Regions from separate parts of the Mus musculus genome. Here all the other regions are reported to be linked to region 1. Evidence: microRNA targets listed by miRTarBase, many of them from high-throughput screens and not tested one by one. Region 1 holds a microRNA gene; each other region holds the end of a gene's coding sequence. Distances are between the middles of the regions.
What was found. The annotated mature microRNA mmu-miR-324-3p reads CCACUGCCCCAGGUGCUGCU and lies in region 1 at 2,540-2,559, shown strand. An mRNA with a match to its seed (bases 2 to 7 or 8) in the 3' UTR can be bound and repressed. Matches are read on the target gene's strand: a 7mer-m8 pairs with bases 2 to 8, a 7mer-A1 pairs with bases 2 to 7 and ends in A, and an 8mer does both.

Region 2: miRTarBase lists Pip4k2c as a target of mmu-miR-324-3p. Seed matches in the 3' UTR shown: 7mer-m8 at 1,463-1,469.
Region 3: the mRNA of Ppig is a reported target of mmu-miR-324-3p. Seed matches in the 3' UTR shown: 7mer-A1 at 1,932-1,938.
Region 4: miRTarBase lists Ulk1 as a target of mmu-miR-324-3p. Seed matches in the 3' UTR shown: 7mer-m8 at 2,649-2,655.
Region 5: miRTarBase lists Riok3 as a target of mmu-miR-324-3p. Seed matches in the 3' UTR shown: 7mer-m8 at 3,182-3,188 and 8mer at 2,725-2,732.
Region 6: the mRNA of Nlgn2 is a reported target of mmu-miR-324-3p. The part of its 3' UTR that is shown has no 7-base or 8-base seed match.
Region 7: the mRNA of Gnao1 is a reported target of mmu-miR-324-3p. Seed matches in the 3' UTR shown: 7mer-m8 at 2,178-2,184 and 7mer-m8 at 2,030-2,036.

What each region holds. Positions count from the first base shown.
Region 1 is chr11:70,009,556-70,013,620 of GRCm38, forward strand. It overlaps Mir324 (microRNA 324), which reads left to right and starts at 2,488; the gene lies at 2,488-2,576. It overlaps Dvl2 (dishevelled segment polarity protein 2), which reads left to right. Exons shown (of 15, transcript NM_007888.4): 15 at 1-554. The coding sequence ends at 37. It overlaps Acadvl (acyl-Coenzyme A dehydrogenase, very long chain), which reads right to left. Exons shown (of 20, transcript NM_017366.3): 7 at 3,879-4,023; 8 at 3,617-3,746; 9 at 3,403-3,528; 10 at 2,893-3,091; 11 at 2,631-2,735; 12 at 2,129-2,215; 13 at 1,981-2,043; 14 at 1,790-1,891; 15 at 1,613-1,710; 16 at 1,451-1,523; 17 at 1,294-1,366; 18 at 1,143-1,215; 19 at 970-1,045; 20 at 628-881. The coding sequence ends at 741.
Region 2 is chr10:127,195,708-127,199,772 of GRCm38, forward strand. Pip4k2c (phosphatidylinositol-5-phosphate 4-kinase, type II, gamma) reads right to left here. Exons shown (of 10, transcript NM_054097.3): 8 at 3,882-4,065; 9 at 3,606-3,709; 10 at 1,360-3,437. The coding sequence ends at 3,357. It overlaps F420014N23Rik (RIKEN cDNA F420014N23 gene), which reads left to right. Exons shown (of 3, transcript NR_045716.1): 2 at 1,430-1,487. It overlaps Dtx3 (deltex 3, E3 ubiquitin ligase), which reads right to left and starts at 2. Exons shown (of 6, transcript NM_030714.2): 1 at 1-2.
Region 3 is chr2:69,749,842-69,753,906 of GRCm38, reverse strand. It overlaps Ppig (peptidyl-prolyl isomerase G (cyclophilin G)), which reads right to left. Exons shown (of 14, transcript NM_001081086.1): 14 at 1-4,065. The coding sequence ends at 3,525. Among named protein-coding and RNA genes, the nearest start is that of Ppig, 29 kb to the right of the region's middle.
Region 4 is chr5:110,782,518-110,786,582 of GRCm38, forward strand. It overlaps Ulk1 (unc-51 like kinase 1), which reads right to left. Exons shown (of 28, transcript NM_009469.3): 27 at 3,783-3,918; 28 at 1,972-3,710. The coding sequence ends at 3,655. Among named protein-coding and RNA genes, the nearest start is that of Pus1, 4.0 kb to the left of the region's middle.
Region 5 is chr18:12,154,728-12,158,792 of GRCm38, reverse strand. Riok3 (RIO kinase 3) reads right to left here. Exons shown (of 13, transcript NM_024182.4): 13 at 1,426-3,573. The coding sequence ends at 3,466. Among named protein-coding and RNA genes, the nearest start is that of Rmc1, 12 kb to the left of the region's middle.
Region 6 is chr11:69,821,569-69,825,633 of GRCm38, forward strand. Nlgn2 (neuroligin 2) reads right to left here. Exons shown (of 8, transcript NM_001364137.1): 8 at 1,555-4,065. The coding sequence ends at 3,635. It overlaps Spem1 (sperm maturation 1), which reads right to left and starts at 597. Exons shown (of 3, transcript NM_028855.1): 1 at 389-597; 2 at 238-295; 3 at 1-66. The coding sequence starts at 532.
Region 7 is chr8:93,966,518-93,970,582 of GRCm38, reverse strand. It overlaps Gnao1 (guanine nucleotide binding protein, alpha O), which reads right to left. Exons shown (of 9, transcript NM_010308.3): 8 at 3,500-3,715; 9 at 1,195-2,551. The coding sequence ends at 3,528. Among named protein-coding and RNA genes, the nearest start is that of Amfr, 44 kb to the left of the region's middle.

The DNA of each region.
Region 1 (4,065 bases):
GGGCAACCCCAGTGAGTTTTTTGTGGATGTTATGTAGGGACCCATCTTGAGGCCACATTGGGTCTGTGCCCTTGGCCTGGCAAGTTTCAGCCTGGTGCCCTTCATAGTGCCTGGGCTCAGCCTGGCGGCTGGTGCCTACCAAAACGTTTTTGCCACTGTGACTCTCACCAGCAGTGCCTGGTCCTTCCCCCTCTTCCTCGGGGGTAGATGGGGACCTTTGGTTATTTTTAGCTTTATTTTTTATAAGCTTTTTGGGGGGTTAAAATAGACTTTCTTATATTTGGGGGAGTATTTTTTTAAATAGACAGTTCCTCTTTTATATGGAGAATCCCTTCTAACCCCAGAATATGACCGCCACCTCCAGGTGCCTAGTCAGCTCTCATGTTGAGGGTGGGTGGTGGTCAGTGGTACCCTGGGAAGAAGAAGGTGTGGGCTGGGTACCCCAGACAGCAGTCCAAGGAGGCTGGTGGTGTGTTGGGGACTGTGTAGCTGCCTTTGTTACTCTATTTATTTTAGTCACTTGTACAAAACACCAAATAAAGCAAATAGAGGCCAACTCCCCAAGCCTCTGGCTCCTTTCTTTGCGAGGCAGGCAGTGGAGAGGAGGGAGCAGTGACATTCACGGCAGACAGTGACTTGGTAGAAAATTTATTGTTAAGGCAATAAGTACTCCATCACCCCCATAAAGGGTTTTGGCATCAGAGAAGGCACATGACCTTGCCAGGGCCTGATTGGGAGTCTCAGATTCCCAGGGGGTTACCGGTGACCAGGCCACCATTCTCCACCATGGCCTTGGAGATGCTTCTGAAGTTCCGGAAGAGCTCCTGATGCTGAGGGCTGGACTGCAGACTGGCCATGTTTTCTCGGATCCGAGTTGCAGCCTGGGGAGAGGGAAGGGGAGGGACGGTCAGGCCGTCCTGTACTGGGGAGCTCCAAGGCCCACCTGTACTGGGGAGCTCCAAGGCTCACCTCAATGCACCAGCTATCACAGAGCATTTTCTCATGCTGTGCCGTCGGGTAGCCCTCACTCAGGGACCTTGAGGCTCTGTGAGGAAACAGAGGTTAAAATGATCCTGAGTGCTGGTGTTGGCCCAGCTCCTCTGTGGCTCTAGCCTGCCAAGCGTCCCTCGCTGCCGCCTTACCTGGACAGAACCACCACCATGGCATAGAGGTCAATGGCGCCGTCCGCCAGTCGCTGCAGCAGGAACTGCTCGTCTGTCAGGTAGATGAGGGTGGGGCTGTTAGTCGGAGGGAGGGAATCAGGGAGGGAAGGGGGTTGCAGAGCTCACTCACTGACAATCCCTTTCTTGTGTTTCACCAGCTTGGCCTCCACCACGGTGGCAAATTGATCCAGAGCCTGCACTGCCTGAAGAGACAAGAGTCACAGACAGAGCTCAGGAGAGGAAGGCAGCGCACAGCCACCGCAGGCTCTGCTTTAAGGCTCACTCACCAGTTCACCACTGCGACTTAACTCTGGGTGGACAATCCCTGACAGACTCAAACCACTGCCGATTCCTGTCCTCCTGAGAGGAGATGGAAGAGTGACTGGTCAGTTGCGGCCTCCCATCTTGTTTGACCCTGACTCTGACCCTGGCCCCGGCCCATGAGGTACCGTCTCAGCTGTTTGCCTGCTTCTCCCATCAGGAGGCCAACGTTTCCAAAAGGATTCTTCAGGGCATTGCCCAGCCCAGTGAGTTCCTTTCCTTTGTCCTGTGGAGAGAAGGGGGACGGCGACAGTGAGGACTCAGTGTCCTCCCCAGCTGCTCTCTCTCATCCTCCTTCCTCTTACCATACAGCCTTGCAGAGCCACAAACAGTCGAAGAATGTCATTTGCCCCTTCAAAGATCCGGAAGATTCGAATATCTCGGAGCACACGCTCCACCCCTGGTTCCTGGCACGCAGGAAGACACAGAAACCTCTGTTGAGATGTGCCTGTCCACTCTGAACAGATGCCCCCCCCTGCCGAGGAATACTCTGTACCTTCATGAAGCCCATGCCCCCCATTATTTGGATGCACTCATCTGCCACTTTCCAGGCCGCCTCCTGAGGACAGAGAACCAGATGAGTTGGATTTTTGAGCTGAGGTCCTAATCTGGACTCCGCCCTCCCATCACACCTGGGTCCTCACCGAGCAAAAGATTTTGCTGATGGCGGCTTCTATCTGGAAGTCTTTGAATCCCTGGTCCATGTTGGCACTCAGCATGTAAGCCATGGACTAAGGGAGCATGGTCGGGACATGGGGAAGACAACAGGGAAGGGCTGCATCAGACAGAATGGCTAATGCTCAGACCTTCAAGACCAGTGCTGATCTACTCCTCCAACCCTTGAATTCACTTTAGCCTCCTGGTCAGGTCAAATATGTCCAATATGTGACCCTCTGGTATATCAGGGGCTTCGAGGCTTCCGACTTTGTAAAGGGGTGGGTTAAAAGTCGTGTTTGGTGCATCTGGGCAGCATTTAGCAGAGCAGCACCACCCTCCAGAAGAGAACTGACTATGCCTCCTCGCATCCCCTAGGGCATTGGTGTAAAGCTGGAGACCCACTGCCCCAGGTGCTGCTGGGGGTTGTAGTCTGACCCAACTGTGAAGAAAGCCATAGGGCTCCAGGGAAGGGGCCCAGGAGGCCCTTACCTCAGTCACATACTGCAGAATAGCCATCCGAGCCAGCTTTTCCTGGATCACCCCAAAGTTGTGAATTTTGTCCCCAAACTGGGTACGATTAGTAGCATGATCAACCTGCAAGAGGGCGCATGTTACCCCACTGTGGTTCTTCAGTTTCCACCTGGACGGGCTGGAGGCCTAACTGTGCCGATGGTCGAGTGTGCATGTGTGTGTGTCGGCGCTCTGAGGCAGTCAGGGACATGTGCTAGCTAGGGACTGGGCTGGGACTCACCGCCTTGGCAATGAGGGATTTCATGGTGCCTGCGAGGGTTGCAGCCATCCCGAATCTTCCGTTGTTGAGGATGTTGACAGCAACCTTGAAGCCATCTCCCACCTCTCCTAGCACATTCTCTGATGGCACCTTCACTCCATCAAAGTACACCTCTGACGTGTTAGATGCTTTGATGCCCATCTTCTTTTCAGGGAGCCCACTGAAAAGGCAGGGCAGGAAAGTTGAGGTATGAACAGGTTGCTGTGGGGGAAAACGGCCTTTTCGGGTCTCATGATCAGGGGAGAACTCCCCAGACTATAAAAAGGATACAGGGCACTGCCTATGTGCCCCAGGGGCTACGGATATCTAGCTATGGCCTGTTAGCCTGTGTTCCCCCAGTGGAAACAAAACTGCTCACCTCCTGTGGGTGCCTCTTGTACAGAGATAGCCCCAGCGTGGCCTGTATTGACTATTTGCTCTTGAGAGCCCAGTGCTGTCCCCATCCTTGATTCTGTTTTGCCCCATACTCACTGGGTAACCCCTCCGAAGCTCCTTTCCACTACAAAAGCTGTGATCTTCTCTTTCACGGCCCCCGTGGCTGCATCTTTAATTGGCGTCTTGGCAAAGACAGTGAAAATGTCAGCCAGGCCCCCATTACTGTGGAAGAGTGAGGTGGTTAGTATAGGGTTTAGAGCAGCAGGGTCAGGCCACTGGGCTGAAGGGTAGAAGAGAAACGGAAGATTGCCTGATCCAGATCTTGCTCCCATTGAGAGTGTAATATTTTCCACAGGGGCTGGGTATGGCTGAGCTTCGGATGGAGGCTACATCGGATCCACTCGAGGGCTCTGTTAGGCAGAAAGCAGCCAAAGCCTGCCCTGTGGGGGAGAGAACGGGCTCACTGGGGATCCTGACCACCAGAGTTGCACCCCCTCATCCCCAGGCAGTTCCTTGTAACACCGTGAGCAGTGTCACACTCCTTACCCCTGGGTCTCTTAAGGTTGCCTTACCAGATGCCACTCTGGGAAGGTATTTTTCTCTCTGGGCCTTTGTGCCATAGAGCAAGATGCCTTTGAAACCGATGCTCTGATGAGCTCCCAGGGTAACGCTAACACCAAGGTCATGCATGCCCACAATCTCTGCCAAGCGAGCATACTGGAGGGAAAGGAGGCATCTGGGATTGTAGCTGGCTGCACT
Region 2 (4,065 bases), not on the chromosome of region 1:
GCCATTGCCGGTCACATGACTGAGGCTGTTGCTGGGATGACGGTCCGGGCCTTAGCAACAAGGGGCGGGGGGGTGGGGGGGAGACCCTGAGAAGGTGGAAGGGGATGCCGGGGTGCAGACCGAGAGAAAGGAAGGGAGAGCACCCCTCCCCTTGGTGGGTGATAATCACCGTTTCCTTTGACCCCCTCCTACCCGGGAGCCCCTGCCTCTGCCCCAAAACAAAAATGGAGGCGCAGTTCCAGTCTTTGGAGGGAGGGGTGGCGTCATGTAGCCGAGGGTAGGAGGTTAAATCCCTTAGAAACGCCACTCTCTTGGCTTCCCCCTCCCGGAGGAGACCTCTCCCCACTTCTTTCCCAGCCAACTGCGTTGCACTCTTAGGAACTGGTAGGGGTGGGAGCAGTGTCGGTGGGTATATAGATTGAAGGGGAGGGAAATTTTTTTGAAGTCTTACGCTGGAATATGTTGGATGGGAAGTTTAAAAAAAAAAAAGGAAAACATTGGTACTACAAAATAAACCCTGTGACTAAACTACTTCAATCCCCTCCCTCAACTCTTGCCTCCTTCCAGACTGTTACCTCCGGTGACCCCCCCCACCCCCAACCCTCGCAGCCTGTTACCAGAAGTGGGCTGGTGACTAGTTTTCCACAAGTAAGGACACTGGTCTGTGCAGAACGTGAGGTGGATAGATCCTTTAAAAATGGCTCAGGGTGGTGTTAGTGTCAAGTACATGGCTCAAATAGAGTTAAAAATTCCCAAAGAAAAAAAGCTCTGCTCCGCTCTGCTTCCCGTCAGAGCTGTCTCCGCCTCCTCCAGCTCACTTCCCTGGGGCTACATCAAGCCAGGTTTTTCCACCAGCCAAGAGACCTCCTCAGCCAAGAGAAGAGGTACTGACTCTCCCAGACTAGCACCAACCACGTCATCCACCCCTCTCCATCCCCTCCCCCCTGAACTGGAGGACTGGTCACTCCTTCACTTTCCCAGGACCCTGCTGGACTCTTCCTGGCCTCTAAGCAGATAGCTTTCCCAGGAAGTCTGCGTGAACAGAGAATTCCTTCCCACAGAGCTGGTACCCCAAGAGGCCCACTAAAGTTAACAGATGGAGGAGCAAGAGCATAATGAAGACAGACACACCATCCCACTCCCACTCTGGCCGCCACAAGGTTGGCGACTATTTTCCCGCTCCCATGTCCACCCCACAACTCCAAGTCCACAGTCATCTTAGAACACCCCCCCCCCACACACACACACACATACTCAGGAGCCCAACACCTTGAAGACCAATATTTTTCAGTTGGACTCTGTAACTCTTAAACATAGGATGGGTTACTCAGTTTTTTAAAAAACAAAAACTTCTGTGAATGACTTAGATCAAATAATTTATTTTATTGTGATATCGGGAGTAAATATACATATTTTATTAACAAAACAGATGGAAAACGGAAGCAGTAAGTGAAGATGGCAACACTGCCCACGACCACAGCCGCACGGTGAGACCCCAGTTGTTAAGGGACCGGAGTCACTTATTGCATTCAACAGGGGAAAGGTTGCTTGAGGGATGGGAGACTCAGCAGGTCCCACCCACCCCAACCGGGCACCCATCTTGCTGCTTCCTTTGGTGAGGGAGGTGGGCTTCTCCCTGAGGACCTCATGGACACACAGCAAAGCAGCTCCTTGCCTTCAATGCCCACCCCACCTCCAGAGCGCCAAACAGCGAAGATGAGTGGCTTGCTTCCAAAGGCTTTAGGCAGAGACAAAGACAATCTATCTCTCCTTAGAATCATTTTCCCCAAGATGGTCTCCTGTTTCCTTGGCTGGCCTCAACCTCGTCAAGTAACTAACTGGCGATGACCTTGAATGCCCCATCCTGCTTACCACTACTTCCCAGGGCCAGGAGTGCAGGCGTGCACCGCCACGCCTGGCTTAAGTGGTGCTGGGGGTGGATCCCAGAGCTTTGTACATGCTAGGCAAGCACACTACCAACTCAGCTATGATCTCCAGCGCTCAAACCCAAACCTATTTGGAGTGTTCCTGAGACCAGGTCTCACTCAGTAGCCCAGGCTGGACTTGAACTCTCAGAGCCTCCTGAGTGCTGGCTTTACAGGCACGAGCTGGGAGAGCTAAGATGCCTAGCAGGTCCTCTCCATTCTGAGGATGGCGTGCATTAATATTCAGCTGTCTTTGGAGAGGACTGGGTGGATTGAGTTATGGCTCTGACTCCTCTCTGGGGGCGGAGAGGGGAGATGACAAAGAAGGCCATCTGTCCCCTGGGAGACACATTAGCAGTGGAAGATGGGACAGAATAACAACTCCAACCAGAAAGGGTTTTGAGAAGGAGGGGGAGTTCTAGGTACACATGCCCCAGGGATGCGGAGGCTCCTTCACTCGAGAGCTCTATCCTCCCCAAATTATGGAGATGGTACTGTTCCCCTCTGCTAGAAAGAAGCCCAGGAGTAGTGAGACAGGAAGAAAGGGTGTCACCCAGGCAATGAACCCTGCACTCCGACCTGTCCCGGCCTCTACTGCTCTCCCTGCTCACCAGCAAGGCACAGGGTTGTGGGAAGAGCAGCCCGAGTCTCACACCTGCACCTAAGCTCGGGCACCGCTAGCCTCTGGGCTCCTGCACCCAAAGTGCTCACAGAAAGAGGTGGACGTGGGGTGGGGTGGGGTGGGAGAACGGGAACAGTCGGGAACAGTCGTTGCTCCACAGGGACCTTCTCCATCATCTGCATAGTCACAAAAGTCCGCTTAGGCTTAGGTCCTGCCTTGTGAGGTGCCAGCCTGCTGACCACTCCCCACCTGACCTCCAGGCCAGACTGTCCATGTGTGAATGCCTGCACCCACATCTGGAGCATCCTGAAAGCCCTCCATTCCAGGGCTTACCAGGGAGGAAGCATGCCACAAAGTGCCCCATAAAAGTATCAGCAAAATCCAGACATTCAGTTTCTTCCACTCAGCAAAAGTGCATCCAGGCAGTTGCTTGAGCCAAGTCCACTGTTCAGTCAGGTCCCGAAGATGGCAAACAACCCCTCCCCCAGCTCCTCCTATTTCATAGAAACAAGATATTTTTCAAAGATCAAGGCACTTAGAAGAGTCGACAATAACACTCTAAAGAAGCAGGAGGGCTTACTGGGAGCAAGGAGGGAGGGCAGAGAAATGGACAAGGGGAGAAAGGACAGTGTATGTCTGGGGTGGGCGAGAAAACCCTATCCACCAGAAGGAAGTTATTTGGATGGAAGGAGCCTGCAGCCTGAATTTAGCAAAGAAGAGAAGTAACGGCCAAGTCCAGCTCCCCTAAGCCTCTCAGAACCCGCCACCTCCAACATAAAGCCGCAATCACCCTGGAGTCAGGCAGCCTCTTAGGCAAAGATGTTGGCAATAAAGTCCAGGAATCGCTTAGCATACTGCTCAGGATGGACAGTGGAGATCTCTGCCCCCGCCTGTGAGAAGAAAAAACAGGGAACAGTGTCACTCACAGGAGCTCTCCGCCTCCCCCTCAGTTCACCCTCCTACTGCCTTCCCTCAGCCATCCCACTACTCTGACCCCAGAAGCGTTCTTTCCAGAGAACAGTCAGGCCAGGAGAGGAAAGGCTGTGGGGAACCCTCACCCCGTGCTTGACAGTCTTGGCTGCATGAGCTGCTTTCTTCTTGGCATCATACTGTGTCAGAATGTCAATGAGGCCCATGAAATACACCTCCTTCTGGGGGGCCCCTGGGGAGAGAGGCCAGCAGTGAGGACAGGGTACAACAGTCCCAACTCCTTTTGCCCAAGAGATAACTTTGTTGTGAAAAGCTAAGCGGTTTCTCCACCCACCACCCTGGTCTCTGTCTCCCAAGGGTCCCCATCACCCCGCTCCCCCTAACATTTCCAGGTTCTCTCTCACCCTCCGCACTCCGGATAGCATAGACATCGATGAAGGACTCAAACTCTCCTGGGCCCAGTGGCCGGTGGGAATGGATGTAGCCTCCGATACCCTCAGGGGAGGTACCATAGGAGCCCACCAGGGCGGGAGGTCCAGCCAGGTTACAGTCCCCATCCCACTCAGACTCCTCCTCCCTCACAGGCCC
Region 3 (4,065 bases), not on the chromosome of region 1:
ATTTACTAGACTAATGATAAGAGAAGCAGCATCTTTAAACTAATTTTACAATTGAGAAAACAAGTTTTCTAAATTCCATTAAAAAAATATACATCACAGTGACTGTGGAGCTAGGAAAAGAAGTGCATTAACCTAATTATGCTTTCCCCTTCCACAGAGAGCAGCCACACCTCAAGATTCCATAGAAATACCCAATTTATGTGTCAATCTTTCAAAAATACTATAAACACACAAAGAGGGTGGGGCAGAAATACAGAGAATGTGCTTTTAGTAACATGGAATTGTCTATAAAAGAAAACCAAAACCAGACAGAAATACAAACCAATGAATGCCCTTCCATCCTCCAGTACTAGGGGTGAGTCAGGGAGAGCAAATGAGTAAAACCTTAACACTTCTTCCTCTTTGGCCTGTGCGGCCTTTTTTTTTTTTTTAAATGAATGTGATTTGTTGTTTATTTGTCACACAGCAGGTGAATCCCTTCAAGACATTGAGAAGCCCACTGCAGGCAGTAATGGCAATCAACACTCAGTTTCCTTGGGATACTTTATTTTTAAAAACAATTAGTTTAAAAATATATTCTTACAATTAAAGTTTCTCAAACTACACAGAGAGTTTGTCAACTGTAAATGCATAAACCCTACAGGGAATAATTACAGTAAATAGAAACAAAAGAATGAAAAATGCTCATTTAGTTTTTTATACCAATCAGTTAAGTCTAAGTCCTTTCTGGGAAATTTACAGAAATTTGCTGTAAAAGGTTCCATGATGAAAGCTATTAACACATGGAACAAAGGATCAATTATACTAACTGCTCTAAGTAGTCACTAGAAAATAAAGTAGGAGCAGTAGTTAATACTATTACCCAAAATACCAGAACCCCAGCATGTGCCTATCCAGAACATAAAGGTTCTTGGTTTGACACCTACCACTGGATGCAAGCAAAGCCAGTGAGCAGCTGGATCACACTGGGGCAAAGAAAGCTAGCAGATTAGCATAACTTTTAAGTGAAAGAGCACTTTAAACGTTGGATAGCTGTTCCCAGACAGTCTTGTCTTTACAGCAAGTAACCATTCTGTATCAGCTACAATGCAGTACAATACAGTAGCTTTACTTTCTCTAACGATCTCTTTGTAGTGTCAATTTCTGTGGTAAACAACTTATCCAGAACAATAATTCATACAATAATCATCAAAGTCTTACATACTGAAATAATTTCCTCAGCTTTGGAGTCAAGCAATAAAAACAAGTGAAAGTACTTTCAAGGGGTATTAAAAACTATTCATTAGCTGTAAATTTAGATATTCTTAGAAAGCCAATGTGATGGGAAAATTGAAATGGGAAATAGTTTTGGGAATATGATGTACAAATAACTAAAAATCTACTAGAACAAGAATTTGGGCTTTGTGCAATTGATAACTGTGAATCTTGGGGTACAATTAATGCTGTTAATTATTTATTCTGAAAAAAAAATCTAGATTGTCTTTTCTCAACTATTTACCCCATTATCTGTCATATTGAAAAAAATAACAAACTAACAAAGCAGGAGTTGGGGGAGCCCGTAAATGCTCAGCTCTGAGCTGCTCTCTTGGAGGATATTACAGACATTACCAATTTTCTCCCATGTTTACTTTCCTAAAGAACTGGAAAGTTCTTGTTTATAATGTATATGCTAACAAGTAAAAGCTCTAGATAAGAAAAAAAAAGTAATTTTACTTAAAAAAAGTATGGATTTTAAAATGTTTGTTGAAATTCCTTTCTTAAAGATCAGGTAGTTTGGGATATATTTTAAAACACAACTGAATTTAAGACATAATCAACTTTTTAAGACATGTAACAGATCACGTATATATTAACTATTCCCATCAAGAAAAACTATTTGTAAAGAATCCATTGTGGGTATTTGCTTTAGGATGTTCCAAATAGCTTTATAATCACTGCACTCTTCATTCTGTACCAGCTACAATGCCAAATATATCTTACCATAGTAATCAATAATGGGAAGTATATTAAGCATCACTTTATTCAGTACAAATATCATTGAAAAGCTAGTGGGTTTACCAAGAAGCTACCTTGGTAAGAGCTGACACTATACTGACAAATATTAGAGTACAAAAACGTCCTAAAGGCTACTATTAATTGGATTTTTGAAATATTTCTCAAATGAGGCAGGTTTTGTGTTTGCTGGATGTTCAATGTTTTATTTAGAAGGATATTACAGAATAAAAGGCCACACATCACAAAAAAATAGCAAAATACAACACACAAAATTCTGAATGGACTTTGGATATGTTTAGTGTTTAACTCTGCACGGTATCATATTTTGCAACTTTCTATTCTACTTTATATGGCAATGTTATACATGCCAAGTTAAAATAATGTTAACAGTAAACTGGTCTAAAGCCATCTGAATAGAAAGAAACCAGAGTCACAAACATGCTACACAGCCTATCATGGTACATATATAGAAAGATGCATCTTCTTGACATTTCATATTCACAGCTATGAGAATCAGAGAAGTTAGTCCAAGTTTAAAAAAAAAAAAACAAAAAACAAACCCAAATCATGCAGAATTACCACTCAATGTGATATAGGCTAATAGCCAAAATAGGGAAATCTTATTTCCAATACTAACGCTTTTTAGAATCTGTCTAGCTTAAGAAGGATCTACACAAGTAGTATGTTTTAATGAGAAATGCATTTTTTAAATTGTAGAAAAAGGTAATAACATGTTCTTAAAAAGCAACAATTTCAGCTCTTCACACCAAAAGCAACAAAGAATTGAAAATTACAGTCTGGTCTTCCAAGGTCTAATTTCTGTCAAATGCTGTATAACAGCAACTCAAGCTCAATCAGCACATGAACTGAAAACAGCACTCACCTCATTTTTATAGCTCGCAGAGCAACGTGGACAATATTAAGAAACAAGCTACAGCTGGAATTGTAAAGTATAAGGTATAAAGCACAAAAAAAGTAACTAAAGTACAAATAACTGTAAAATCAAATGAAGGTTTAAGATCACATAAGGATCCTGCTTCTGTTAGTTAAGGAAACTGCTCTAAGCCCATGAATTATAAATGAAAAATCAAAGCCCAAAAAGCTATACAAAACTTCAAGTGGTTTCTAAAGGGATTTGTATCAAAAGAAACACAAGCCTATACAACAATGTACTGCAACCAACAGTTAAGCTTGTTTCCAAATGGCTGATTAAGCAAAGTAGGCTGCTATTGACGGTTGCAACACAAAAATGAATACATAAGAATTTAACATAGCACACAGTATTACACCAAAGTGTTGTTTTTCTTTTCATTTCAAGTTTATTAAAACTTTAGCAGTACAAATTATCCAGGTAGCAGATTATCAAAAGATCAACTCAATGAAGTCCACATTTAAAAAAAAAAAGGGGGTGGGGGGAGACAAACATAAACAACTCCAAAACAATGAAAACAATAAAAAAGGGAGGTTCAACAGTAAGTCTTAAAAACTGAAAATTTGAGACAGGAAGGAATTAAGAGTACACAACTCACTCATCCACTTTTGTCTTCATCTGTTCCAGGGCTTGATTCATGATCACATTTTTTATTTTTGTCATGTACATGGTCATTTTCTTGACCCTTTGATTTTTGGTTTTCTTTTTCCACCGGGGATCTGGTCTTTTCGTCCTCTTGATTTTTTAATGTGGAGGACTTCACTTCATTGTCCTGACTGCTTTGCTTTGTTTTTGACACTGGACTTTGCTCTCTATCAGCCTTTTTTTCCCTGTTATTACTTGAGCTATTATGATCACGACTTTTAGAGTACGTTCTTTTCTCACCCTCAGAATTTTCTTTTCTGTGTGAACTCTTACTTTCTTGGCTTCTATATTTATCTTTGTTTCTACTTTGACTTTCTTCTCTCTCTGAGCTCCGGGAATCCCTCCTTCTTCTCCTCCTATCTTTACTTCTCGATCGTCCTGGCGTTCTTCGATCCCGGCTTCGTGACCTTCCTCTTCTCCTATACTCCTGTTCTCTGTATCTATGGTACTCCTTGCTTCTGCTGCGATCTCTGTCGTGGCTTCTGGACCGCACT
Region 4 (4,065 bases), not on the chromosome of region 1:
TGTGCCATGCTTGTACATGCCTAAAAGAAACCACGTGTTGTCAGACTCCAGAAGTTCAAACCAACAATGGCTACTGAGTTCTGTAGAACTGAACCGCCTCCTTGCCTCACAGTCACTCTGATCACTGTTCAGGTCGCAGGGAACCTTGTACCTCAACCAGTCAGCCAGGTCCACTCCAGGACTCCACTATGTATCCACCCCAGCACAGTCATATGAACATAGATGTTCAATATTTTCTAAAGAAATCCCAGGGTCAGGGTTCAAGAGAATGATCAGGCCGAACGGGAGTTACAAGACAGCACTCAGTTCTGTACTGCAGTGACAGTGGCACATCACTGTTCAAGTATCCTGGTTTGTCTGGGTGTGGTGGCGCGGGTGTCAGGTTAGTAATGGGGAGGCTGTGGCAGAACAATCAAAAGTTCAAAGCCAGCATAAATTTCACCAGATTCTGTCTCATAGAAAGGGACAGCGAAATGCCTCATCACAGGGACCAGAGTTCAGACCTCAGCGCACACATCAGATCATAAAAATCTCTTAACTTCAGCACAGAGGGATGCAACAGCCTCTCCTGACTTTCTCCAGTGCCTGCACCTAAGTGCACAGACACACACACATACAAAATAGTTAAGGGTCTACAGATATAGCACAATAGTGAAACACTCGCATAGCACGTGAGGCTCTTGGTCTACTGTAGCACCAAACCCAAAGATGCTAACAAGAATTATCAGCTGCAAGAAGGAAAAACAGGACCTCCCCATGTCTCTCTATAAACCTAAAACTGCTCCAGGCGTGGTAACACCATGCCTGCATTCCATGCACTGGGCAGGGTGTGGCAGGATTGGGAGTTCAAAGCCAACCACAGCTAGTGAGTTAAACTATCTGGCAGGCTCTGACTGCTCTCCCAAGGGTCATGCATGAATTCAATTCTCAGCAACCACACGGTGGCTTACAAGCGTCTGTAATGGGATCTGAAGTCCTCGTGCGGTGGGTGTGTCCGAAGACAGTTACAGTGTATTTACTATATATAAAATAAATAAAACCTTTTAACCACTGACACCTGAAACAATGTCTCAACAGGGCATAAAAATAAAACATGGACTCCATGAACATGTGATATCTTGGATTAGTTTACTATGATATATAGGTATTACTATACCTAATAATTTTTATCCTGCGAAGATAATACAGATGTAAGATGAAAGCATTACATCTAGATGTTTGCTTGGGATACCAATGCCAGAGCAAGCAAAGGGAACCACAGGCAGATCAAGGAAGTTTTCTGAGAAAAACAAAAAACCCAAATGTGTGTAGCATAGGCAAAGTAAAACCAGGCACAGTGATATACATCTGTGATTCCAACACCTAAAAGCAGGATTGGTTGTTGAACATAGCATGTTTGCAGCCTGCCTAGACTATAGAGAGCCTGACTTAAGGGGCTGGAGAGCACAGAGGATTGGAACAAATAAAGCATACAGAGTGGCCAATGGTTTATAGAAGATTAGTGCTGGGAAACTGCACCTCAGAGCATACTTGCTAAAGTTTAGAATAAAATGACAAGTGAAGCCAGGTGCAATGGGGTGCCCGACAGTCCCTGCTATGAAGTCTGAGGCAGAGAACAGAAGATCATCTGAGCCTAGGAATCAAAGACCCTGTCTCTCAAAATGGGGAAGGTTCATTATCAATGATGCTCCACTCTAGGGGGCCTGGAGAATTGCCCCACCCTCTCTGGATCCTCACCTGACCCAGTGGGAACTGTTGTTTCCTGGGTGATACAATGAACCCACCCAGCTATCCCTGGATCAAACTGAGGCTTGCTTCCGGTGCTGAGCAAGCCACCACACCACCGGCACCGTGAAGTACTACTGGACTCAATCTGGCTGGGGGACACAGGCAACCTGCCCAGACAGACCTGAAGGCACACCCGGCTCCTGGAGGGACAGTGGCACCCCAGGATGAAATTGACACCACATAAATAATTCCAATTTTTATTTTCTTAAACTGATATGACACAGTGAAACACAAAAGGGGGAGACTCACAAAATTCATCTTAAAATTGACAGGCCTGAGCACTGCTTTCATGAGCAGGTTTGGCTCATACCACACACAGCCAGCCACACACACACACAGCCACCCAGGAGCCTTTCAGGAACCAGGTGGTGGGTCAGGAATCCCTGCACTAGCCTCCCTGGTGGCTCTGGGTTCCAGTTGGCCACAAAGCAATAAATACAACATGTTACATGCAAGGGAGGTCATAGGGTGACTAAGGAAGAGACTGGTCTTAGAGATCTGCTTTCTTGTACAACTCTTGTACAACCAAGCACAGTGGCAATATTTCAAGTATTGCAAAGAAAAACGTGTGTGTGTGTGTGTGTGTGTGGCCTATAACTCTGAAACCCCACATCAGCTTGTGGACACTCAGATACTTTCAAGTATGCATGAACAGAGCCGTGACAAAGGACTGGCAGGTCAGGGAGGCTGGGAAGGTATTAGCATGTGTCCACCCTGGAGCCTGGAAGACGAGCTTCAGCACAGATCCTGAAGGCCACCAAGCACAGGAGCCAGACTGACAGGAAAGCTCCACAGGGGACATGTTTGCATATGTTATTCTTCACCCACACCTCCACTGCACAGGGAGGACGGCACCTGGGCACTGCCTTTTCTGCCGCCCTTCCAGGGAAAGTTAATAGAGATAGCCAGCAGCACACTCGCTCTGGCACATGCTACAGCCTCAGCCACACAGCGGGCACCGTCTCCTACAAGGACAACATCCAGTGTGATACCTGGCCTGCCCTGCCTCCGCCCTTTCAATCCTTAAACATCTGAAGTTTCCTTTTATGAACAAAAACTGAGTTGGGAGGGTGGAGACACATCTTAGGAGTAAAGTGTGGAAGTTGAGGAGTTTTAACAAGCATGGGTGGTGCTTCACACAATGAACTGTCTGTCCCTAATGAACATTTAAACGTGAGGACTATCTCTCCCTCAGGAGGCAAGCCTGTTGCTTTCCTCCAAAGACCAGACACAGGAGGAGGTGAACACTGGGCTTTTTATACACAAAGATGTGGTCTGCATCTATACAGCGTCTTGGAGGACGAAAGCCAGGAACAGGAGGCAGGTTCCCAGCAGTCTGCACTGCTGGCTAGGTTCTCCAGTCTCTGTATGCATAAAGTGCTCCGGTGACTTACAAAGCTGGGTAAGTAGTCTCAGAGGGAGAAGTTCCTAGAGAGAACAGGGGGCCAGAAGACCATACCCTTTTTTCTTGGACAAGCAATGGGGCAAGTGAACTGTGAGGAAAAGCTTGCTTTGGCTTGGAGTCAGCAACGGTCTCAGGCCCTTGCCTGACACAGGGCTGCCATGGGCTCTTCAGGTGGCAGGTGCCACTTCTCGGCACCATACCTGCTTGCCAGGGAGCCAGCTAGGAAGAATATGTTCAGAAACTCCTGTCCCAGTGGGCAAGGGACCCCTGGCACTCTGATGTCTACCTGCCAGCAGAGACTGGCAGTCTAGGAAGCAAGAGTTGCACCAGTCTGCACAGGTCCACTGTGGAGCATCCCTGCTGGAGTTGGCTGGCAGCAGTCTCAGCACCATCGGATCTGATCAGTGTTGAGGACAGTCTGCCAGGTCTCAGACCCTACCCTGCAGGTTGGCAGCAGGTAGTCAGGCATAGACACCACTCAGCAGGGCCGAGAGTCTCCTCTCAATGCACAGCTTGCCTGTGGAGGAGAGAGCATGAGACAGGGAGGCCACACCTACCACCCCCACTTAAGCTCCGGAAAGGCACTCACATTTGGCAATGTTCTCAATGTCTGCCTGGTCCGTGAGAGTGTGCTGCAACCCCTCCAGCAATAGCAGGGCTTTGTGATATCTCGGTACACAGCCCTCTCGGTGCTGGAACATCTCATCAAGGGCAGCTGATTGTACCTACAGGCAACAGCAAAGCTGGGCAGGGCTGGGGCACGACAGGGGGCCTGACTGCTCAGCATACTGCGGATTTGCCCAACTTCACTTGTAGTTGTGTTGTGAACACAAAAGGTCTACGGAATTAGCTACAGATGCTCATCCACATGG
Region 5 (4,065 bases), not on the chromosome of region 1:
ACTCAATGGCTGTCTTGGTTACTGTAAAGAGACAATGACCTAGGCAACGCAGAAGAGGAACCATTTAATTGGGAGCTTGCTTAGAGGATTAGTCCATGATCATCATGGCAGGAAGCAGAGGCATGATGCTGGAGCAGTAGCTGAGAGCTTTACACCCAGCCCCAAGCCAACCCACAGTGGCACACCTCCTCCAAGGCCACACCACCTAATCCTTCCCAGACTGTGGGCCGAATATTCAAACTTGAGCCTTTGCGGGCCATTCTGCTCTAGATCACCACAGTGGCCTTTGTCCAACAACTCAGAATATCTTTCGTTTTCAGAGAAAATCTGCCAGGATTAAAGGTATGTGCAAGGACAATCCAGAGTTTAACTTCAGTCTCTGTGCTGTGTAAAGTATGTATTCAATAAATAGCTGTACTTTCCTCCTGTTCATGTCGAGTCCCATCACTCTGAGACAGCATGGGTGAAACTTTCTCTCCCATAGATAAATGAGACCACTTTGAAAGTAGACTCTTCAGTCCCAGTCAGCCTTTGGATGACTAATCCATCTGGCCAATTTGTTTCTCATGAAAGTCTTTTCTCACTCTGCCAGGTGAATCCTACTAGAGATCAAACTCAGATCATGAACTTGGTGGCAAGAGCCTTTAACAACTGAGCCATCTCATCAGCCCCAAACCTCGAATACTTAGTAAATTTTAATGTAGATCCTACAAAAGTCGAATAGAAAAATATATACCTCCATAAACTCAGGCTTGAAACTATAATCAGATGAATGACATCTCCAGTATTTCTCAAGTGTTACCAATGCTTGGGACTTTAATGTGCAGGCAGGATTCCCTTCTGATGGTCAGTCTGCCAAGCCTACCTCTAGTGACACACCTTCTCCAACATGGCCACACCTCCTAATCCTTCCCAAACAGTCCCACCAATTGGGGACCAAGCATGCAAGCATGCCTGGGATGTCGGGGTGGGGGGGTGTCACATCCAAACTACTACAGTTTCTATCTTCTAAGGGAGTCAGCCTTACTTAACATCTCCCCATCAGCTGCCTGATTTTTTCAGTCTGCTTTGTCCATCCATTTTGTTTTTTTTTTTTTAGGCAGAATCTGAGGCTGGCCTCAAACTTGTAGTAATCCTCCTGCCTCACTCCATGCCTCTACCAGGATTAAAGGTGTGTGCAAGCATAATCCAGAGTTTTAACTTTCAACTTTTTGTTGCTGTAATTGTTTTGGAGACAGTCTACATACCCTTGGCTGACCTGGAATTCATTATATATACTAGGCTGGCCTCAAACTTACAGAGATCTGTCTGCCTCTACCTCCTAAATACTGGCATCTCATTCTTATATCATGGAAACTAGTAATGAATTATCTTATAGAAACAGAAATTCTCTCCAATCACCCTTGCATTGGTAACATTTTTTTTAAAGGATTTATTTACTTATTTTATGTGAGTACACTGTAGCTGTCTGCAGACACACCAGAAGAGGGCATCAGAGCCTATTACAGATGCTTGTGAGCCACCATGTAGTTGCTGGGAATTGGACTCAGGACCTCTGGAAGAGCAGTCAGTGCTCTTAACTGCTGTCATCTCTCCAGCTCGGTAACATACATACATACATACATACATACATACATCTTTACAGTCAATAATAAAATAAGACAAAGTATTCCTATTATATACATACTTTACTGGATTATTTATCAAACTAGTATCTCCAGCTATGTGAAAAATGTCCTGACTTCACAAAGGGGTTTCGGGGGGGATACCTGTAAAACTCAAAACAAAAGTTGTGTGTGTGTGTGTTTAAAACTGCACTGCTGCTGGGCGTAGTGGCACACGCCTTTAATCCCAGCACTCGGGAGGCAGAGGCAGGCGGATTTCTGAGTTCGAGGCCAGCCTGGTCTACAAAGTGAGTTCCAGGGCAGCCAGGGCTACACAGAGAAACCCTGCCTTGAAAAACAAACAAACAAACAAACAAACAAACAAAACAAACAAACCAAAACTGCACTGCTTACTTTGCTATAGAAAGGGTGTCTTGGTGCCAGGACATTAAAATAAGGACAAAGAATTAACCACACAATGAACCAATTCTAAAATGATCTCTTCATTTTTAATTTCTTGAAAGGCAAGTTCATAGCACACTCCAAGCAATGGTTTGAGAAAGAATATGTGAAGAAAGCAAACAAAGTTTTAAATGATTGTTTCTAATGACTTTTCTGCAATTTGTGTCCAGCCAATAATTTCTCATCATTTAAATCTTTGTGTGGAGCAGCAAACATAAGTGGGATGAGCCACCTAAATTCACTCCTCTGAAATGCAATTAAAGCAGTAGAACAGAAACAAAAATAAATAGTCGAGAAAGAACATATTTGGCAATTTAAAATAATGTTAAAATTTTTCAACTATAAATTACATTTACTCTTTATAACCAGACAGAAAGTGAAGCTGGTTAGTGGATCCAATGTAACTCCCGGAACTGGGGTAATGAGGTGAGAGCAAGCAAGCACTGGTCTTCAGAACAAGGCTCACCTTCTCAGGCCGAGTCCAGCCAGTGTGACGCTGGCAGAGGCCCACAGCCGAGTTAGCCGGTCAATTCAGTACTTGAGCTGTTCAGGCTGTGTCTTCCACTTACTGAACAGCTCCACTTACTTTGTTCTAGTTCTCTCCAAATGATTAGCAATCAATATGTGAACAATTTGGGGAAACGTAAACGGAAATGTTTCACTGCCTTCTTAAAATGTAGCAGATCCCATTCTTACCTTCTGCCCTTCCAGATACTTTGTATTCTCATTATAAATGTAAATAACCAACCATTTAACCTAATGAAGAAAACCTGAAAGTTAAGTTTTAAAATGTAGTTAAGAAATCCTTTTATATTTATCTTTCAGAAACCTGTCACCTCTCCTGGCTATGAGACGGAAATGTAGAATTCCACACATCTACGGTGTACCAATAAAATGCTTATGTCCATTTCCACCATCCACTGAGGCCAAGTGCCCATTTCTAGTACCCACTGGGGTCTCCACGCTCACGGTCAAACAGCTAGGAAGGGCTAATTTAAAACAGCAACATCCACCCAAAGACGCAAGGGAAAGCAGGAGGCGAGCGGAATGGAGCAGAGCGCAGCCATCGAGCCTCCCCTGCAAACACCTCAGTCCCCACCTCCCACATTTGGAAACACTGCCTATGTGAAAATCCTCATCTAGACACTTCAGATCATGAGTTGTATAAAATCCAGACTCCTGTGGCTACACATCTATACCTGTTAAAGAATTATATTATCCTTTTTGTAAGATGAGAGGTAGTGACATTTTATTCTTTCAATGCCGAGTTAAAAATTGCACACATCTGGCACGTGGGTCACAAGTGAGAAGCCCAGAAGCAGCACTGTCCACTCCTGCTTTGGTATGTCAGGTCACCTCCACTCGCTGGCTATGGCAGCTGCCGTCCGTCACCGCTGTACTAGTCGGCAGACAGCACAGGTGGGCTTCCATCATCTTTCAGAAACGAGGCTGCTTTCCTCCCGTTCTTCTGAATGTGATCTTCATTCATCTTCTCCAAAGCTTCTATCTACAGACCAAGCATGGAACCCTTCGTCAAATTTTGGCTTCTTAGGAACATATCTGACCAAAGTGGCATTTTTCCTCTCTAACCTCTGGTTAATGATGCTGGCCTTGAATCAGAATCTCTCTCACCTTCCTCTCCCCATACTCTGTTTGCATGTGACAGATGTGCACATATACATGTTTGCTTTTCTTTGCTTTTCAGTATAAAATAGATTTATTTAGGGAATGGGGGTAGGGAGGTGGTTAAGAAGATAGCAGAGGCAGAGAAAGGGGAAAAGGGAACAGGAAGAGAGGGGGAGCAAGAGGCAAGAGAGAGGCAAGAGCATAATTTGCTTTCACTTGATGATATTACCAAGGTCAATACTAGAATCTCATCAGTTTTGTGATGTCCTCCATAAAGCTCCCCGCCACAGTGTCCATCCCACCTGACTGAGCCACAGCTCTCTGCACTTCCTGCCTGCTCTTAGGCTCCCCCAGAGCTTGGCCAAGCTCAAGG
Region 6 (4,065 bases), 190 kb from region 1:
GATGGACTTTGGGGTAGGTCTGCTTCCTCAAGGGCTGGACCAGCTTCCCAAGTGAAGTACTGGTTTCTGTAGGGAGAAGTGAGGTTGTTGGAAAGGCTAGCTTCTAGAGAGATGGATGGGAGGTGGGGGCTTTGAAAGAGAAGCTGCAACTCCGTCTTAAGGAGCCAGCTTAGGGTCAGGTGGAATAGAGCGCTTGGTTTCTGCCCCTGCTAGGCCCCAACCCCTAGCCTTCCTTACCTTTTTCACAAATGATATGGAACATTCGGTGTAAGAGGATGCGGATTCGGCTCCAGAGCTAGGTATAGGAGGACATGGTGACCACAGGTAGGTCCGTGGAACCAGGCCTGCCTCCCACCCAGCCTCCCCAACCACACCCTCCATCCCTGACCAGGGTCACCAAATTGATGCCAATGTTAATACAGACGATAAGACCCAAGAGCAGCAGAATGGAGTTTCCCATGTCCTGGCAGTTGTTGATGTTGGGGTTTTGATACGAGGCCCACCCAGGCCGAGGCCGCTCAGCCATGGCCATGGTGGTCCCTAGGGCCACCAGGGCCCTTAGGCCCCCAGCCCACTACCCCTAATGCCCACTAGCCTGCCAGTCTGACCCAGAAAGTCCTGAGAGTGACCGGGTCACAATGAGGTTGGGGCTTTCCCTCATAATGTGCTAAGATGATACTCTCAAGGTGCAAGGCCCAGGGTTGCCCCCCCCCCCCAGCCTTAGCCCAGGCCTCGGCAGGAGCCAGACCCTTTCTTTGCATCCTTTCTTAGAGCCAGCCTCCTGGGTGAACACACTGGCTTTCTAATCTATTGGGCATCTGCCCTCATCAGTTTTTATGTCTTCTAAAGCACCAGGCCCTGGACCACACAAACATAGTTGCTGACCTTTTGTTTTGTTTTGTTTGACTTGAGACAGGGTCTCATGTAGCCTAAGATGGCCTCAAACTTTCTATGTAGGCAGGAGTGACCTTGAACTCCCGTGTTCCCTGTCATTACTACTCCAGTCCTAGAATTACAACATACACCATGTCCAACATTTTTATCTTTTTTGTTGTTATTTTCAAGACAGGGTTTCTCTGTGTATCCCTGGCTGTCCTGGAACTCACTTTGTAGACCAGGCTGGCCTCAAACTCAAGAGATCAGCCTGCCTCTGCCTCCCGTGTGCTGGGATTAAAGGCATGTGCCAACACTGCCCAGCCAGCACTTTTATTTTAAAGATGGGATCTCGTATTTAGCTCAGGCTGGTCTTGAGTTCCTGCCCCACCCCACCCCCCGCAGTGGCCTGAATGCTATGATTATAAGTGTTTCTGACTATTTGTCCATCCTGGTCTCTATGTTAACCATCCAATCCCATCCTGGTCTCTATCTTAACCATCCAATCCCGTCAGGATGGAGACTTTTCCCTTTGCCATTTCTCCTCAGATCTTAAGAGTTATTTTCTGAAAAGGGTTGGGCACTTCTTCCCACCCCCTTCTAACAAGACAGGTACAACCAGAGCTGGGTACCCTCTCCACCCTCCACCTACCTTCTAACACGACAGGAGACAACACAACCAACAGTTAAACTTTTATATTTACAATATTCTCTTCATCTTTTGCCAGGTTTAAAAATGTGTACAGAGCCGCAAAGGGTTGGGGTGGGGGCATGGGATTATTTGGAAAGGGGCCGGGCATTGGAGTCCGTGGCTGTATCGTGGGGTCCCCCAGCCCCTCTCTCACACCCCAGCTCTGGGGCATCTGCTTACAGGGCTCAGGGCCCAGGTTGATAGCTTTTGGAAGGCATGGCTGTTCCAAGAGTTGCTAGACCAGGCAGGGGAAAGGGCCAGAAAAGAACTACATTTCCATGGGGGATGGAGAAAGGACAGGGGCTCAAGACCAAGGATTCTGGACCTGGGTGTCAGTGGAAGACAGCACCCCACTCCTATACAAGTTTGGCACTAACATCCCTCAGAAAGCCAAACAATACATGAAGATTCAGCCACACCTCCACTGGTGTCCCTTAAAACCCTTCCTGACAGCGTTCTTTTCCCCAAGAGGTCCAAATCCAAAGACCTCTAGGCAGCTGCTCCCCATATTTCCTTTCAAAATCTTCCTGCTGGTGTCTGCCCTGTCCCCCACAGCCCCTCCATCTGCTCCTTGGTACGGCTGACCTCATTCTCTTCCCCAGCCTGTCCATGTAACCTTTTTCCCTGACTCCTCCCTTCCCCCTCTCCTCAGCTTTCTTTCTTCTTCTTCAACTCAACCAACCAGGGAGGGGAGACAGGTTAAAGAAGGTAAAGAGAGAAGGCTGGTCTGACCCTGAGATGGGGAGAGAGCATCAAAGAAGGAGCCAGTGATGGAGAAAGAGGAACCAAGGCAGAGAAGGAGAAATGACATGGGGGTGAGACACAAGTGGGAGGGTTGCGGGGGACCACCTTAGCTGCCACCTGCTCCTGGCGTTTCCCTTCCCTGGACTAGAACGTAGGGGATCCTTGGCACATTTTGAGAGTCTCCCAACCCATCTACCCAGTTTGGCACGGATGAGCAATGATCTCAAGGACTGAGGAAAAGGCTGTCCTCAGGCCCCCTTGAGGGCTTAGGTTAAACATGCATGGCCTCTTGTGTGACATGTGCCATGCCCCCCATCCTCCCACCTCGGCGTCTCCCTCCAAGTCTCTACTTCCCACGTGGCTTCTGTCCATTAGAAGTCTGCTCCCACCTGCTATGCAAGGAGGAAGTGTGCGCTGGACCTGAGGTGTGGGAGAGGGCAGGGGAGTGCTGGGGGGCGCAGGACCCTCTGCCTGGGAAACACACATCCACATGCAAGAACATGTTTCCATTCGATGAAATGCGTCCTGGGCCGTGGGAAGGTAAGTTTCCAGGCAGCGCTGGGATGCACAGAGATTCCCCCTTTCCTCTAGCAGGAAATCTCTGTTGTCTGTGGAAGGTGAGGGCTTCCAGGGAGCACGGGCTTCACCTGCCTTGTGCCATGGGGGAGAAACATGCTATTCAGGGGTGGGTGGGGAGCGGGGTCCAGGGGGCCTGTGATTTCCTAGCTGCTCCCCAGGTACCTCCCTGTATTGTCTGGTGGCCAAGGGTCACCGGATGTGCACACATCACTTCCAGGGTCTCCAGGGAGTTGGACGGGGAGGAGAAGACGAAGGCATGGGATACAAATCCCCGCAGAAATTCTTGGAGGAGGCAAACATGTGTCCAGGGCGGCAAAACAAACAAACAAACAAACAACCCCCCCCCCCGAATAAAACAAAAACAAAAAAAAACCCAACCAACCAACCAAAAACAAAAAAACCAAACAAACCTCACCCTGCACATGGGAAAACACCCCCCCCCCCTGAGGAAAGCATGTCTTCACATGGGCAAAAGGACTTCCACATTTCCACACACCGAAGACTGGTGTCCCAACGGAGGGCAAAAAATACCCCCCAGGTGTTCGAAGGCCCAGGTCCAGAGGAGATAATGGGGCTCTCTGCATGGGAAAAACTCTCTTCCCAGTGAGGAATCCCATGTCCACCTTAACACTGCTCCACGAAGTCTGACAAATCCACGGGGGCAAAGCCCGGTGCCAAGTCCTCCTCCCTGCCTTCAAGTGGCCTGGGCTGGGAGGGCTAGGGAGGCAGACCTCCCAAAGCCGCCCCCTATACCCGAGTGGTGGAGTGGGGATGGGGTAGCGTGTTGTTGTGGCTGGTAGCAGTAGGGGGTGGGGGTGGGAAGGGCCCAAAGGGATGGAGAGAAGGGGGTGGGGGCGGGGGCGGGGGCCCCAGGCCACTAGGCAGCAGGGTTAGGGCCCCGGGGGCCAAGAGAGGCACATCGTCCGGTGCCCGGCGCAAGGCCAGGGTATAGTCGGGTGGACAGGCAGGGCGCAGGGCCTCAGCAGGGTCCGCCCCAACACCACCACCCCGCTTCAGCTGCAGCGATACTAGCTCCTCCTCCGGGGGTAGCTCACGGCCAGCAGTGGGAAGCAGGGGGCCCCCACCAGGCACACCTGAGCCTGAGCCTCCTGGTGGGCTAAGCCTCCGGCACCGCAGCTCCTGGCGCCGGTCCCGCTTGTAATAGAGGGCGGCAAAGG
Region 7 (4,065 bases), not on the chromosome of region 1:
CTGGTCTGGTCGTGTTCACCTTTGGCCTGCCGTTGGGATCTTGGTTTGTCGTCTGATATAACAGTCAAGGTGTAGATTGGTTGGAGGTTGAGTGGTTCCCTCTGTATTCAGCAAGTGAAGGCAGTTGGTAAGGAAGCCACTGGAAAAGAGGTGTGGCTTGGTGGAAGAGCCTTCTGGGTGTGCCAGCATTTACCAGGTACCCATGACAGCTGGGGACAGGACCATTAGACTTGGTCTGAAACAGTTTTGTGTCTACACCTTCACACATACACCATGCTGGGTTCAAATGACCAAAGGCTATGACATGTGTCTTCTGAGCTAAGAATTTCCACGTGGGGTGCTGTTGGGATAGGATTTCATTAATAGACCTTGTAAGGTTTCCCCATTACACTGATACAGAACATGCCCTTAGCTGCTTGCCTAATGATTGGCCTGTGGTGTGAGGCATTTTGGTAGGCCCAGTCGCAATCCATTTGCTAGTTCTTATGCAAAGCCACATAGTTTGAGAGGTCATAGAGAGATCACTGGCTGAAAAGCTCAGACTCTGAGAGCCAAGCTGTTTTGTCTTGCTTCCCATGTGCCTCACCTGCTGAGACCCTTGGACCTAGCAGCAGTGGGACAAGCAAAGCCAAGGAGAAGCCTTCAGGAGAGTCTTTGGGCTGAGCTTGTCCTTTGGCATCACAGTGGGTGTGCAGAAGGCTGGGGCGGTTTGAGCTCCTTGGAAGCACCTGTTTTCCTCTTGGAGAGAAAGCCCTGGCCATGGAAGACGGGAGGGGCGGCCGGGCTTGTTTCTCCCTGTTTCCTGCCCCAGTCTCAGGTCACTGGGAACCATAAAACCAGATGTGCTGGAGGAGTTGCAGCCAAAAGAAGATGCCCATCTTCCTGCTCTCATTCCTGTTTGTGTATGCGTGTGTGTGTGTGTGTGTGTGTGTGTATAAATGTGCCTGCAAGAGCACACACATGCACACATGAGAGACAGGAGAGAGGGGGCTGAGGGGAAAGAGGAAAGACAGTTTCCTCAATTACTGTGCTACTGAACTGTCTCCCCTCAGTGACAAAATGTTGAGGGACCTAGACAATCCTGTGGAGAAATTCCTGACCCACCACCCTCCCAGGGTATGTGGCCAATTGTCTCCTGTCAGATTGAAGCCCACCCCAGGGACGATCGTCTGGAAGGCAGAAGGTGAGACTTGGTACAGACAAACATTCTCTTTATTGAGCTACACAGGAATCCATTAGAGAAGTAGGCTGGCAGTGTCAGGTGTCACAGAAACCTCACCGTTGGGAATAGAAAGGCTTACAAAGACCCGTGGGCTTTTTATTTTTATTTTTTTTTTTTTACTTTTTTCCTTTTTTCAAGTTTTTTTTTTCTGTATTTTTAAATTTTTTGTGTTTTGTCTTTCGCCTCCTTTATTGAAATGGCTGTGACTGGTCTTCAGTAAATATTGTCTTAAAAGTGAAACCATGAACAGGTCTGGGGTTAGATACTAGTCAAGTAGAAATGACATGGGACTGATCATGAAAACTGGCTTTAATGTAAACACTACATTCCATCTTTTTAATTTTTTTTTTGTTTTTCTTCCATCTTGTGGTATTTAAAAACTTTATTTTTTTTGTTCTTTTTATCTGCAGCACAAACATCCCAACATGAGAGCGAGGGAACACAGGTCACTGGAACAGAGAGGAGAGGGGGCCACACACAGGGGAGGGCTTCTGCCCAAGGCCAGAGGCTGTGATGTTAAAGGAAAAACAAAAACAAAAACCAAACCACACAACCCCTGTTCCCCAGACCCCAGACACTGGCAGAGCTGGTCAGGTATGCATGGGAGGCACTCACTAGGACCAGAAAAACCAAAAAGTTAACAACACAAAGGGAGTGTAGGAAGGGGCTGGGTGAATTGCTTCTATAGGGCTGGATTTCTATAGGTGATGAGCGTTGTCTGTGGCAGCTACCCCTGCCAGAGCTGTGCTTTTTCTACGCAAACTTTGAGTGTGTTTGGAGTCGCGTGGCTGAGCAGGGCGGAGCTGCCACTGCCTGGTGGTATATGAGGTGTCTGGGCAGCCCACAGGCATGGGGAAGGGTGGGTACAGTGGCCAGTGGCCTTCTAGACAGACTAGCCTGACATGTTCCCACCAGCCATGGGCTGCACAGAAGCCCTGGGAGGCGCCAGGCCCAGCACTGCCTCTGTGTGCCAGCCCCAGTTCTGCTGAGGTGGGGAAGGGGGAGGGTGTGGGTACAGACATTTTTTTTTTAAACTTCAAAATAAAAAGGAAATATGGATTAAATGGTGAGTTTTCCTTTTTTCTTTTAAAGCTACAAAGCACATGAGAAATGGTTTTTGTTTTGTTTTTTAAAATCCTTTCAAGTTCTAAATGTAAAGACTCAACTAAAACTGTATTCTACAGCATTCTACAGAAATACACAGCCGTCAGTCACTCTGGGGTCGTAGGTTAGACAGGGGCTTGGTACAGAAAGGCTGTGTGTCTTACAAAGGCCAAAGGTCATGCTACCAGGAGATCAACATCAACAGCAAAGAGTCCATGAAGCAGTCTGTAGAGAGAGAGATAGGGGCCAGTCTGACCATTTTCTTTGACTTTACAAACCAACCAACCAACCAACCAACCTAGAACATTTAACTAGTGCAGGTGGTGGGGCACAGTGGGGAGCCCGCAGTAGGGGAAGCCCAGCCCTGCCTTGTACCTTGCTTCTAGCCTGGTCTGCCAGTCCAGCCCTCCCCAACCGCTCACACCTCATCCATGGGCCTCTTCAAGGGAATCTGGCTTAAACTCTAGGTGAGCTTGGGCAATGGCTCACACATCCCCTCCCCTCAATTATTTGAGAAAGCAGACCAGGTCTCCCATCTCCCTAATTTTCCCCTGTTCCCATGAATAAAGAAAACTCAGGAGACAGTGGATTGATCGGAGCAATGATTCTTCTAGATTCCTGAAATAAACAACCACCACCCAAGAGAGAAGGGTCCTTAAGAGTTCTCTGTTGTGGCTAGAGGGTAGGGGGATGTTTTGAGTGTTGGCCGTTTCTTAAATGGTTTTGGAATTTGGGAAGGAGCAGGGCAGAATTGAGCAGGTAGCCTTGTATTAGGATGCAGGGGGTTTGGGGGCTGCTGTCGAGAACCAGGTCTCCCTCTGCCTGCCCTGCTCATAGCCCTGGGGATATCTAGAGGAAGGATTGCCAACCCAGGCTCCCACCATGCCCTGTGTGAGTGTGTGCATGCACATGTGTGCATGCTCATGTGCTGTCCCAGGAAAACTGATGAGCCAGGGATGGTGGTCAGTCTGTCCGCAGCTCTTTTGAGTATTAACTAAAAACATTTTTCTAATATATACTTGTGTATAGATAAGGTTACGTTATGCCTCTTTAAAGTTTATTTACCAACTTGCACTGGTTAGTGGTGTGTGTGTGTGTGCACGCGCATGTATGTGTGTGTGTGCGCGTGTATGTGTGTGTGTGCACAAGCTGTTCTGTGAGTGCTGGAATTACCAAATAGGTTGCTATACAGGACAAGAGGTCAGTACAAGCCGCAGCCCCGGAGATTGTTGGCAATGATGATGTCGGTGACGGCGTCGAATACCACCTGGATATTATTCGTGTCTGTGGCACAAGTCATGTGACAGTAAATTTCTTTGTTGGGTGAGCGGTTTTTGCTTTCAAACTGTGTTTGGATGTAGGCAGCTGCATCTTCATAGGTGTTGGAGCCTGTAGGAAGATATAGAGGAACAAGCGAGAGGCCCTAGTGAGAGATGGGCGTGAACGGGATGGTCGGGAGACAGAACAGGTGAGGTGAGACAGGAGGGAACAGCAGTGTTACCTCACCCCATTCCCAAGGGCAAGGCTGCACTGGAGGCTACAAACCACCAAAGCCCTTTACTTACTGTGTTTGTATTGTATGTCTATCTATGATGGCTCTGGGCAGAGCAATGGCCACAGATGATCTCATTTGTACTAGATTAACAAATCTAGATAGAGCAAGCACCTTTCTGTGGCATAAAGCTAAAATGTACACCAGCTCCACAACACTTTTTTTCTATTTAGTTTTATGTATATGT